3 linked regions of the Xenopus tropicalis genome follow. The protein of the gene in region 3 binds, or shares a complex with, the protein of the main gene of each other region. Links are inferred from orthologs where the notes say so. Each region holds a gene or a part of one and is shown on either strand. Other genes may lie near its edges.

The links.
Region 1: the proteins of fgfr1 (region 3) and frs2 are in contact, whole or in part, in an NMR structure (PDB 1XR0), measured with the Homo sapiens proteins. The link is inferred for Xenopus tropicalis from reciprocal best matches to the Homo sapiens genes FGFR1 and FRS2. Residues at the interface, in NP_075598.2 of Homo sapiens: His409, Ser410, Gln411, Met412, Ala413, Val414, His415, Lys416, Leu417, Ala418, Lys419, Ser420, Ile421, Pro422, Leu423, Arg424, Arg425, Gln426, Val427, Thr428, Val429, Ser430; in NP_001036020.1 of Homo sapiens: Asn25, Val26, Asp27, Asp28, Leu33, Leu47, Thr49, Arg50, Asp53, Ser54, Val55, Trp57, Leu60, Cys61, Leu62, Arg63, Arg64, Tyr65, Gly66, Tyr67, Asp68, Ser69, Leu71, Ser73, Phe74, Gln81, Thr82, Ile86, Phe87, Ala88.
Region 2: the proteins of fgfr1 (region 3) and plcg2 are in contact, whole or in part, in a cryo-EM structure (PDB 8JQI), measured with the Homo sapiens proteins. The link is inferred for Xenopus tropicalis from reciprocal best matches to the Homo sapiens genes FGFR1 and PLCG2. Residues at the interface, in NP_075598.2 of Homo sapiens: Lys504, Asn506, His541, Lys542, Lys598, Ser602, Tyr605, Gln606, Arg609, Glu612, Tyr613, Ser616, Lys617, Lys748, Asp755, Arg756, Val758, Ser762, Gln764, Glu765, Tyr766, Leu767, Asp768, Leu769; in NP_001412678.1 of Homo sapiens: Phe528, Arg540, Thr568, Phe569, Pro570, Asn571, Phe577, His585, Cys586, Arg587, Arg589, Ser590, Thr591, Met592, Gly595, Leu601, Thr602, Asn604, Leu622, Arg623, Cys624, Ala625, Glu626, Phe627, Glu738.

What each region holds. Positions count from the first base shown.
Region 1 is NC_030679.2:59,065,616-59,070,018, reverse strand, and holds the start of frs2 (fibroblast growth factor receptor substrate 2), read right to left. Parts: upstream 2,875-4,403; 5' UTR 2,831-2,874; intron 2,795-2,830; exon of another isoform or gene 2,610-2,794; intron 1-2,609. UniProt on the Homo sapiens protein: Adapter protein that links activated FGR and NGF receptors to downstream signaling pathways.
Region 2 is NC_030680.2:64,101,118-64,104,766, forward strand, and holds part of plcg2 (1-phosphatidylinositol 4,5-bisphosphate phosphodiesterase gamma-2), read right to left. Parts: intron 2,980-3,649; coding exon 2,895-2,979; intron 2,814-2,894; coding exon 2,730-2,813; intron 2,453-2,729; coding exon 2,409-2,452; intron 1,630-2,408; coding exon 1,557-1,629; intron 1-1,556. UniProt on the Homo sapiens protein: The production of the second messenger molecules diacylglycerol (DAG) and inositol 1,4,5-trisphosphate (IP3) is mediated by activated phosphatidylinositol-specific phospholipase C enzymes. It is a crucial enzyme in transmembrane signaling.
Region 3 is NC_030679.2:130,973,677-130,977,325, reverse strand, and holds part of fgfr1 (fibroblast growth factor receptor 1 precursor), read right to left. Parts: intron 2,861-3,649; coding exon 2,737-2,860; intron 305-2,736; coding exon 114-304; intron 1-113. UniProt on the Homo sapiens protein: Tyrosine-protein kinase that acts as a cell-surface receptor for fibroblast growth factors and plays an essential role in the regulation of embryonic development, cell proliferation, differentiation and migration.

The sequences.
Region 1 (4,403 bases), about 72 Mb from region 3:
CAGCATAGGATTTATTTATATATTCACAAAGTCAGCAGCCATGCCGCCAGCAAGATTTTAACTCTGAACTACCTCCATAACTAGAAAAACACTTGCCAAGAATCAGCCCCTCTGCTCTCAAAATCTTTAAAGGAGAAGGAAAGGCAAAGTCACTTGGGGGTGCCAAAATGTTAGGCACCCCCAAGTGACTTAAATCGCCTACCTTCTACCCCGGGCTGGTGCCCCTGTTCGGAGAGAACAGCACCAGCCCGGGGTAGCTGCAGCGCTTCCTCCTTCCTGTTCGCTCGCAGGTACCCCAGGCTGGTACTGTTTTCTCCTAACAGGGGCACCAGCCCGGGGTACAAGGTAAGCTATTAAAGTCACTTGGGGGTGCCTAACATTTTGGCACCCCCAAGTGACTTAGCCTTTCCTTGTCCCTTAAGCATTGAATCCGCCCTGGGTGCAGGCACACGCAGCATATTTCTGCCTCAAACTGCATACTTGAGCAGTTTCAGACAGAAATACACTGTGTGTGCCTGCCCCCGGTGGATTAAATGCTTCTGGGTGCAGGCAAAACTTAAAGATTTTTAGAGCAGAGGGGCTGATTCTCAGCAAGTGTTTATCAGCTTGCGAAGGATCACCCCGTGACGCATTACCCTAAACATAATACGAATAGATAACAGGTACAAGGATAATTAAGGCCTCCCTCACATATAAAAAGGCACTAGATCAAGAAAATATAGCTATAAGAATCCTGCACGCTAAGGGATTGTACTGACGAGTTTTGCGCAGAATTCTGCATTCCACCTCAGTTCCGAGTTTACACGCGCCTTTGTGAGTAAAGCCCCATAAGGAAGAATGCTTGCGTTTCTTCACAGACCCAACCACTCGTCCTAAATAAAACACAGTCCTAAATAAAATATAACTTGTACTTGCAAAAAACAGGTCTTTTTTAGAAAAATTATTTTATACATAATTTTGTCAACTAGTGCCCACAAAATCATTCATATTAAACATTATGTCGGACAAAACTAAGTAAATACCACCCAGCAATACTGCAAAACGAGAATACAGAAAGACATAACCAGGAGACCCAGACTTTTCAGCAACAAGCCTTTCAGAATTCCCCTTGATAACAGCTTATTGCCTAAACATCGGGGTGATTCTAACTGGCTTGTTACCTGCTTTCCTATATGCTTATTTTGCACTATTGCTGGGTGGCATGAACTTAAAAGAACACTGTTCTATATTGACTAAATTATATATGAAATAAATTAAAATAATTTTTCGATAAAAATTAGTTTTTGTAAGTGCTACTTGTGTTTTAATTAAAGTGCAGGTTTCATGTTGCTATACTGAGATTACACACACGCAGGCAGATAAGATGCCGACTCAGTCTCAAGGGGCTGAACTGGCAACTACAACCTGCCCATGGATGGCCACCTTTAAGACTATGATGTGATAGCCCTTGGTCTAGGAGGAGGGCAGTGATGTTGGAATTTAGAAGGAAGTGGGGCGAATGAAGTTTTGGATTAGTTGTTTAAAACTAACATTATGAAAACATGTCCCAGGCAGCCTACACCATGCAATAAAATAATTACCTAACATTTATGTATTTTTCATTTGTTGTGCATATTAAATATACATTACAATTATTATAATTAAGAATTACCATTAAAAGATGATAGTCATACTGTGTATTTGCCATAAAGGTATTTCAGACACAATAAGCTGTTTGTCCATATTTTGCTTTTGAACATATATAGGTAATGAATATCATATTTTAAAATAGTTTCTAAAAAAAAAAAAAAGGTTCTCTGACCAGAATTTAAAAACATTCAATTTCAAGCAACTTTCCCATATAAATCAATTAAAATTCAGTTTTTTAAGGTTACTTATATGTATATAAAATTGGTACTGAGAACAAAGTATGTTTACATTCTCTGCTCTGTCTCTCTACTGTCTCTCATTGCTAAAACAATATAACATAAGACAGCTGATTAACAGAAGGAGAACTGCCTTCTGCTACACTGTTCCTGGGATTCTGAAACAGAAGTGAAAGGAATACTGGCTTCAATTATATTTATAAATAACTGTAGAACAACTGAACAAGCATTAATTGGGTATTCGAAAAGATTACATTTCCTTTCATTATGTAAAAAGGGGTTCAAGGGGCTGCAGATCCCCCTTTGTCTGAAAGAAAGTTAGCACCTTGTAGCATGACAGTAAGGGCCAACAAACTTCAGGTTCTTCAGACACATCCAACTCTCAGAGAAAGTTGGGTGCTGCATCTAACTACCGCTGAAAGGATAGCCACCCCAAAAGTGACTATATGCCGACTATAAAATGCCTTATTACAAGGTAACAGTGATTTGCCACCAGGAGAAAGTGCTCTGCCTTACAACAACACTGCTTGAGTGAAGCATTCGGCGCACGGCGGTACTAGTGATCTTAAATTCGCTCCTCTCCAGCGCAACAAACTACACATCCCGACAACCCCTCTGAAATAAATGCAGAGACTGGACGTGATGCGAAATAAAGCTGCCGGAGAGCCGTACGCCAAAACTCCATATGAAAAGGTGGTTTGTCACGGTATAAAAACAATGCTTTCGGTGTAAAGATGAACTTACAAACGCCACACATCCACACACGGACACCCCACTCCCACGAACAACGATCACATCAGGGTGCTGGGCAAACCTGGCGATCCCAAACCGCCGTGCTTTACAGATAAGCGGATCAGATGTAGATGATGTGGATCTTTAGTGGGAGTTCCGTGGCCGCGAATGAGCCGTGCAGTAAAGGCTGAGAGAATAGCAAACAATTCTTTCGCTTCAATAAAGTTACTCACGGCTTTCTATGTCGTTCCGGCAGGGCTTCGCTCGGTCCCGGGTTGCACTCAGACCCCGGGCTCCAGGCCGCCAGCTGGGCCGAGGCTTCTGGTTGTGCGCAGCTTCCCCCGGGACTACTGCTTCCGGGTCACGCGGCCAAAGGAGCGCGCACAGGACTTTTGTGAGACAGCGGGGGCGCGCCTTAAAAGAGCTTTTTTTTTTTTTAAGTTGACGTCAGCAGAGCGGTGAGGGTGAGCTACAGTGCAGGGTTACTATGGCGGTGTTTGAAGCTCAAGTTAGGGGTATATCTATCAAACGGTGAAGAAAGCTGCCTATCATTCGCCCCATAAACATTTCGCGTCTTTATTAAGACAAAAGTGTTTACTTTCCAAACACTTCTTCAGTTGGAATCAGACAATAGCAGAGATAAAGTTCTTTTTATTTCATCTCTACTTTTTATCGCTGACCCTTTTCCTAACATTGAAGTTGACAGTTTCCCTTTTCACCTAAAGCAGCAGTGTGTATATATATATATATATATATATATACATACATACATACATACATACATACACACACACACACACACATACATACACACACACACTATAGGGCAGATTTATCAATATGTGAGTTTAGGGGGCACATTCATTAAAGTACAACGGGTCTGATTACTAAAGATTAGTATTTTTTCTAAAGTTTAGAACTTTTGCATATTTTCTACAATATTTTTGTTAATTTGCACGACTTTTTTCATACCTTGCCACAATTAGTGGCACAAAATCGTACTTGTCGCAACAAGTATGAAAGTTTCGTAATTCATTCAAGCTTCGGTATTGTGACTTTCCTTGGGCCAGGTTGGAGCTGCCATTGAGTCCTATGGGAGGCTTCCAAAATCATGCACAGAAGGATCAAAGTCCATCCGTCGTTTACGATCGGATACAAAAATTTCATAACTTTTGGATTGTACCACAATATTTTCAGATCGTAACGTTTGTAACATTGCCGCACATCAGAAATTATCGTTAACTATAAGAATTTTCGCGAATCGTACTTTCAAACAATCTAAATTCATACATTGATAAATGAGCCCATATAAATTAATACATAGAAACTCACCCACATCCTATTCATTCCTATGGGATTTTAGAAGCATATTTATCAAATGGTGGGTTCTAACTTTCACCCATTGATAAATACACTTCAAAAGATCCCATAGGAATGAACAGAATGTGGATGCACCAATATCGAAATTAAAAAATCTTTCTTTTATTACACATTTAAAAATTATTCAAACCCCATTTACTGTATATTGCCTAACGCATTTCATGCTTACCCAGCACTTAGTCATAGGCTCCAAAGGTTAAAAACGGGTTACACATATATATACATAATACAGATCTCACCCCAATTAGTTAAACCAATCCGTGTGTGACACATCACTCACTCTTTAAATTTGAAAAGTTAACTATATCAAGTACAGATAGAATCAACTACCAGATAATAAAGTATACATAGCACAGGGTTAGTCATAAAAACATCATTATGTAAAGCATTGTCACGACACGAAGCAGGTTACATCAAAAGTAACAT
Region 2 (3,649 bases), on a different chromosome or scaffold from region 3:
CATCTGTCTGTCTCATACAGACACCAATAAAAGTTTGCATTCTGAGTTCAAACTTCAGCAGACCAGCAAAAGCTGTGTGCTGATTGGTTGCCATTGCACACAAAGTTAGGGAAACATTTGCCAGTGTTTTAATTTATAAGAAATGGAGTCTATCATTACTACAAGAAAAGGAACAATAAAGATCACTGCTAGTTGTGTTGCCAGTAAATATAAAAAAATACAAAGAATGTTGATGCCGAATCAAATATCACTAGAATATCGAAGCAATACAGAAATGTATCTCAAATATTAAGGGATTTATAAGTTTTACTTTTGGATCATTAGTAACAAGGGGAGAAGTTAGAAAGGAAGCAACAAACAAATGTAATGCCATGCAAATAGAGCTAAATTAGCTCATCCTATAGTAAAGGCATCCAATTTCCCTATGCAAAATGGCATAATAAACCATAATACACATTAACAACATCAGTGGGTCAGCAGTGGAAATGATCTTCAACACACAACAGAAACACCTTTTTACTGGCAGGGACAATATAACAATGTAAGATAAAGGATGACACTTAGGGGCCGATTTACTAACCCACGAACGGGTCGAAATGAGTCCGATTGCGTTTTTTCGTAATGATCGGTATTTTGCGATTTTTTCGTATTTTTTGCGATTTTTTCGGCTTCTTTACGAATTTTTCGTTACCAATACAATTTTTGAGTAAAAACGCGAGTTTTTCGTAGCCATTACGAAAGTTGCGTAAAATCTGGCGATTTTTCGTAGCGTTAAAACTTGCGCAAAAAGTTGCGCTTTTTTCGTAGCGTTAAAACTTACGCGAAACTTTGCACCTTTTAAGTTTTAACGCTACGAAAAAGGCGCAACTTTTCGCGTAAGTTTTAACGCTACGAAAAAAGCGCAACTTTTTACGCAACTTTCGTAATGGCTACGAAAAACTTTTTTACGCAAAAATCGTATTGGTAACGAAAAATTCGTAAAGAAGCCGAAAAAATCGCAACAAATACGAAAAAGTCGCAAAATGTTCGTTTTCAAGTCGGAACTTTTCCAATTCGGGTCGGATTCGTGGGTTAGTAAATCAGCCCCTAAGGGGCACATTTACTAACCCACGAACGGGCCGAATGCGTCCGATTGCGTTTTTTTCGTAATGATCGGTATTTTGCGATTTTTTCGTATTTTTGCGTTTTTTTCGGCGTCTTTACGATTTTTGCGCAAAAACGCGAGTTTTTCGTAGCCATTACGAAAGTTGCGCAAAGTCGCGATTTTTTCATAGCGTTAAAACTTGCGCGCAAAGTCGCGCCTTTTAAGTTTTAACGCTACAAAAAAATCGCGACTTTGTGCAACTTTCGTAATGGCTACGAAAAACTCGCGTTTTTTCGCAAAAATCGTAAAGACGCCGAAAAAATCGCAAAAAAAACGAAAAAGTCGCAAAATGTTAGTTTCCAATCGGAATTTTTCCAATTCGGATTCGAAATCGTGTCTTAGTAAATCAGCCCCTTAGTTTCACTTTGTGAACACATCAAACAGTATTTCTAACACTGCTGTCTACTCTCACCTGTTGCTCATGCACTAGAAACCTTTGAAAATCATGCAGGTGGACAGCTGACCCATCTGGGCGGTCAACATTTCTATAACAAAAAACACCCAATTAGAAGTGGCAATAGAGACATATAAAAGCATACAAGGCATTTCTTTTAACATGTGGCGTCATTTGCTTACAGCTGTATTTGCACACAGCCTAAATAAATGTCACAGACATTTGTCAGAAGGCAATGGAGATGACAATGACAAGTGTATCTCTTTATACATGTTTTTATGTAAATAAATTTAGGCCCCCATGTGAGAACCAGTTAGTTACAAGTTAAGGCTTTATAATGATGATGATTTTTTTTTTTTATCTTTCTTGCATTTTCTTCTGCCCCAACCCACTAAAACTGCTGCTAGCTAAGGAGCTTAAAATTTTAACTATCATAAAAAAAAATGTAATATAAGACATATCACATGGCAAAAAACGTATATATCAATATATATACGTAATAATTCTTTACTATTTCTGACATAATAAAGTTACTCTTCACTTTAACCCTTTTAGTGTGAATCTACAATTCTAAGTTCTATGGTATTTGCAGGTAGTGCTAATGTAGGAATAGTTGCTCCTTTGCATGTCATTGTTTACATTAGAATGATTTTGGGTGTGCAACCATTTGTCATGCCACTTTGGCTTCCATGGTAAGCAGAAAAAATTACATGGAAACTCTGACAAAAGTAGATACATATAAACTGCAAATCAAATCATGTAGAAGTTCCCTTTTTCCTGGAAATGCCACATTTGAAGATATTCACTAGAAATCAATTCCAAATAGTGCACCCTCAATGCCAAAGAGGAAGGTGAAGCAGCAAACCTTACCCCAAAATAAACACTGAAGAATCCTTCCGAAATTCATCCAGTATCTGAGGGGAGAAGAGAACTTACATTGAAAAGAAAGTTATGGAGCTTGTGTTTAAGACCAGTAATCATAAATAACACCAGTAATTGCTGTTAAAGGTTTAACCTTATAACATGTTAAAAACAAAACAAGAAAACAAGTAAAAACCCAAAATACTCCTTTTGAATATAGGTAATAACTGAAATATTCCCCTTGCAAACTGGTAATAAGCCACAGAATATAGAGAAAATAACGAAGCATCCACAATACTCAGGAGAGCATGAAATGCAATATGAACTTACCATCTTCTGCTGTTCAAACATGAGCTTTTTGTAGAATACGTGAAAATGTTCAAAACTAATATCATCCCTTTGAATGCCAATCTCCTGTGGAAAAATAAGATTTTTTTTTTATAACCACAATTCATCTAAAATAAAACAAAATAGTTAAGTACATTTCACATTTACCGTTAACTTGTCCTTCAGCACTCTCATGCTATTAGCTTTGAAGTTGGCCTGTGAAAGAATGGTCTTCAGTTCCCGGAAGCTAATACTTAAAACAGAGGAAAACCAAATGATGATTCGAAATAGATTTGAAATATGCCTTGTAATTCATAAAATCATATGCTATAGATAAAAAGAACACCTGTTCTGGCAACATGGAGATCAGAGTTAATATACCGTTTGATCTTTTTTTATGTTTTGGCCATATTTACACATGTGATATCTTAGAAAAGTGAGCCTTCTTTTTAAACATGTACATATTAAATAATGTATTAGAACCTACAATTTGCACACTCAGCAGGATGCATAGAATTAAAGGACTGAAATCAGATTAGATGGATCCCAAAGTACCCAGAAATCTAAATACAGTCAAATCCAGATTCAGAAGCTATTTCATGCTTAGGAACAGCGCCGAAGACTGGTGTGTGCCGTAAAAATGCAGTGAGAAAAACTGTACACCAATTAAGTAGAAATTGATTCAATGTTACCAATCAGTCCCAAAACTGATGTCAAGCTTAGTAAAAAAAAAAAAAAAAAGAACTGCATCTATGCAACTGATTTATGTTTACAGCCATGACCTCTTTAAAGCAGGTTTATATAGCAATTCGCTAATTAACTAATCTCAAACTGAAAAACCTTTTTGTGATATTATTTTAAAGTGCAATGAAATGCAAAATCGTTCTTGATGTAACATAGTTGTAGTATATATATATTTATAT
Region 3 (3,649 bases):
GATTAAAAAAACAACAAAAGGAAGGGAAAATAAGCGTAACTGTAACAGAAGGAGTGTCTCGCCTTGCAGGGAGCCAAACAACACATGGCACATAGGACAACAGATGTATTTACCTTGAGGATTTCCACATACGGGAAGCCATCCGAGGCCACTCTGCTGCCATTAATTTCAATGTGCCTGAGCCATTGGATGTGAGGCTGGGGGTCGCTGTACACTTTGCAGAAAAATTCAGCAGTGCTTCCCACAATAACACTCGTATTCGCTGGGAGACCGGCCTGTAGGATTGGGCGATGTGGCGAACGTTCTGCGAAGGAAATGGTTGTTTCCAAAGGTCAATGTAGCTGGAGCACTTTCTCAACAAATATTGGTAAACGTAGCACTAATTCAGCACTATTTACAGATGGAGCACCACTATAACAATATTACATTTACTGTAGCACTTATCAAAGCGTGGAGATGGAGAACTAAAATCAACAATGTTTATTATTTGGCATCTGGGATTGAACCCTGCATGTAGATGGAATGATACCAGTTTCTGCAGTTCGGGCACCGATAGAACAGAATTTTGGAATCCTATTCATAACCAAAATAACATTTTGCCTATCTATAAAACACAACACAGAGCTTTTATTAGCACAGAATAGACAGGGAATTTGTCCTGGACCCCAGTCTCGAAGAGGGGCCTTTGAAGTATTCTAAAATTATAAAAAATATAAAACGACATTTCAATATAAAGCTATATCTCAGAGCAAAATATTTGTTGTTTCCATTCCTGCAGAAGACAGATTTTAGCCAATCAAAGCATTGGATATAGAAAAAACTTGTTTTGTCAGCCAATCACAGAGCAGAATGTCTCCTCTGCTACCTCATTACTTCAACAGACACATGAATGATGAAGGTTTCCATAAAAACCCATGTAGAAAGGGTCTTATTTATTTATTCAAGCAACTTTGGGGAAATCAGATTTTCCTTAGCCCCCACCATACACATCCTGGAGTCAACACAGCTTCTAAATAATTGGCAGCAGTTTTATTTACTATATCGGAATAAGAAGTGAAATACTCTTGGTGCACAAAAACAGTTGGCTGGTAAATGAAGGGGGACAGGGTGTTGGCTTTCGCCATTGATTTAATTTGCTTTTCATAGGCTTTACAGTAAAGAGGGGGGAAAACAATTCTATCCTTAAAATGGCCCAGGCAGCAGTAAGGTTACAATTACCTAGAGATTCTAGGCTAAACAACCAATATTATTGTTAGAATTAAGAAAGGCCCAGCGCTGGAAATGAATCCCAGATCCCGGGAAACAGATGATGCAATGGTGGTGTATAGAGTAGGCTCTATGTACGTTTATTACGTCTCCAGGAATAACAGACTATCAGTACGCCGCCTTGATTCTTCAAGTCAGTCGAGAATGTAATGAGAGGAGCGGGGAAGAAAAGCAAGGAGACAGAATAAATAAACTCAGCACCTTAATGCAGGCCCCACGGTGCCCCCTGTACAGGAAATATTTGAAATTTAATAGGTTCTGTGAGGTGGAAATGGCAGGCTGGGGGTGGGGGGGAGTCAAAGAAAGGAAAATATGTAGGATAATTAAAGGCGGATGTTCGTGGAGGAAATATTTGAGAGGAGAATTGGCTACTCATTTGAGGAAATGGAGGATAATTTCACGATCTGCTAGATATTGGGCAAAGAAGGGCTTGTTTTGTTTTTTTCCTTTCCTTCACTTTAGCCTGCGCCTGCCATCGCTCTTCAATTAGTTTCGACATAAAAACTCCAAGGACTTTTTGTTCTGATCCCCAAGCGCCAACAAAAAAAGCCTCGGCTCCAGGCCCGTGGGTGATTTCTATCGCAAATTCAACCAGGAGGCCGAGCAATGCAGAGTCAATTATTCGCACAAAACCTTGATTAATACTTGTATTTAAGGTACGCATTATTTTTTTAGACTGTCGTCTTCAAACTGGTCTACAAATCCCAGCGAAAAATTAAATACTATAGACTTAAAAAACAATTTTTTCCAGGGTCCCTAACGCTACAACTCTGTGACCATGAAGGACTGAGCAATTGATATCCTCCCCCCCCAAGCCCAAATGCCTGTGGCTTTTAGATATATTCGAACGAGCACCCTTTTGAGACCCAACATTTGCCCAGAGCACCCTCCTTAGCTCAAAACAAGGTTGCAAACATACAAAAACCATTACAAAATTTCCCATTCAGCCATAGTTCCATGGATATCTAAGATACTAAAGAAGTGTTCACTCCAAATCTTACTATAATTAACCTTGAAGATGGGCTTCCAGCAGAACCTAGGAAAGTAAATGGGCATATCCCCAAATCTGTTCCAGATTAAAAAAAAAAAAAAAAAATTACACTATAAATAAAAGGAAACCCTACATGTTTTGACTCATGGAGGATCTTCATCAGGGGAAAAAAAGTATGAAAAAGGCCTTTACATTGGAGTGGAGTCACTTAATGGGTTGCCTCCTGTGGATCTCACCTCACTAAAATAACTTGCGTGCACACTATCCAACTCCTATGGCCTTCAGGCTGGGCCCATCCAACCAAGGCTTTTGGGAACCACTGCCATATGCATTAGAACTAGATTGTGCTGGTCACTTAACCACAACCCCATAACTAAGAATAGCAGCCAGCCAGCAAGGCAAGCATCAATGGAAATAGAGCGAGAATGAATGAGAGGCAGAAGGGCTCCTCCATGCCACAAACAAAGTACAGCACTTACCGACTACATCCAACTGGTAGGTGTGGTTGAGGGTGCCATACTTGTTCTCCACAATACAAGTGTAATTGCCTTTATCAGATGGGACAACGGAATCCATAATAAGGCTCCATGTTTGAGAACGAACCTAGAAGTGTTAAATAGTTGATAGTATTAATCTTTATTTTAGGCACTGCCATCTTAAATCCTACACGTTCCCTTCAAGCTAAAAACCCAGCTTTTTTGCCCTGGCGTGGTTGCCCCTCTTCTCTGTTTGCATCTTTGGAACCCCACTTATTAATTGGGGAAGGTGGCAATCTCAAACATAAACATCACAAAGGACTTGCCCAGATCCCTAACAGTGTAAAGGGATCTGGGCAAGTCCACCACCACTGCCAATATACAGCATGTTGATGGCACAGTTTCCAATCCATAGAATGATAAATATATAAGGTTGGTCAATAGTCTGATGAAAAGTCACACTCAGCAACAGCTTCAAACACTCTCTCGATGGTGATTACATTTAGCCTGTGAATCCCTCTAACGAGCTGCAGAGCGATCAGCAGGAGGAGTGATTAATGAGAGTCCTTTCAAACAAGAGACACCACAGCATGCTGGGCCGACAAAAAAGGCAGTTCCACTTCAAAGGTCCTGCTGGCATGCAAGAGGAACCCATAACCCGGTGCAACCTCGTCAGCTGAAATGCTAAGATGCGTCAACCATTCTGGCACTGACGTTATAAATGTTCTCAAGTTTTTAGGGTCTTACTAGCTAGCATTATCAGCCCCTTCTCAGGGAGAACCAGGAACCAAGTGCTATCATATGAAAGAGAACTGAATTGTCTATGGCAGACAATGCCCAACGCCACTTTCTTTTGTGCTTTTACCAATCTCCCTCGTCTTCCTTCCCCCAGCTCTCCTATTGTGTTATATTCACT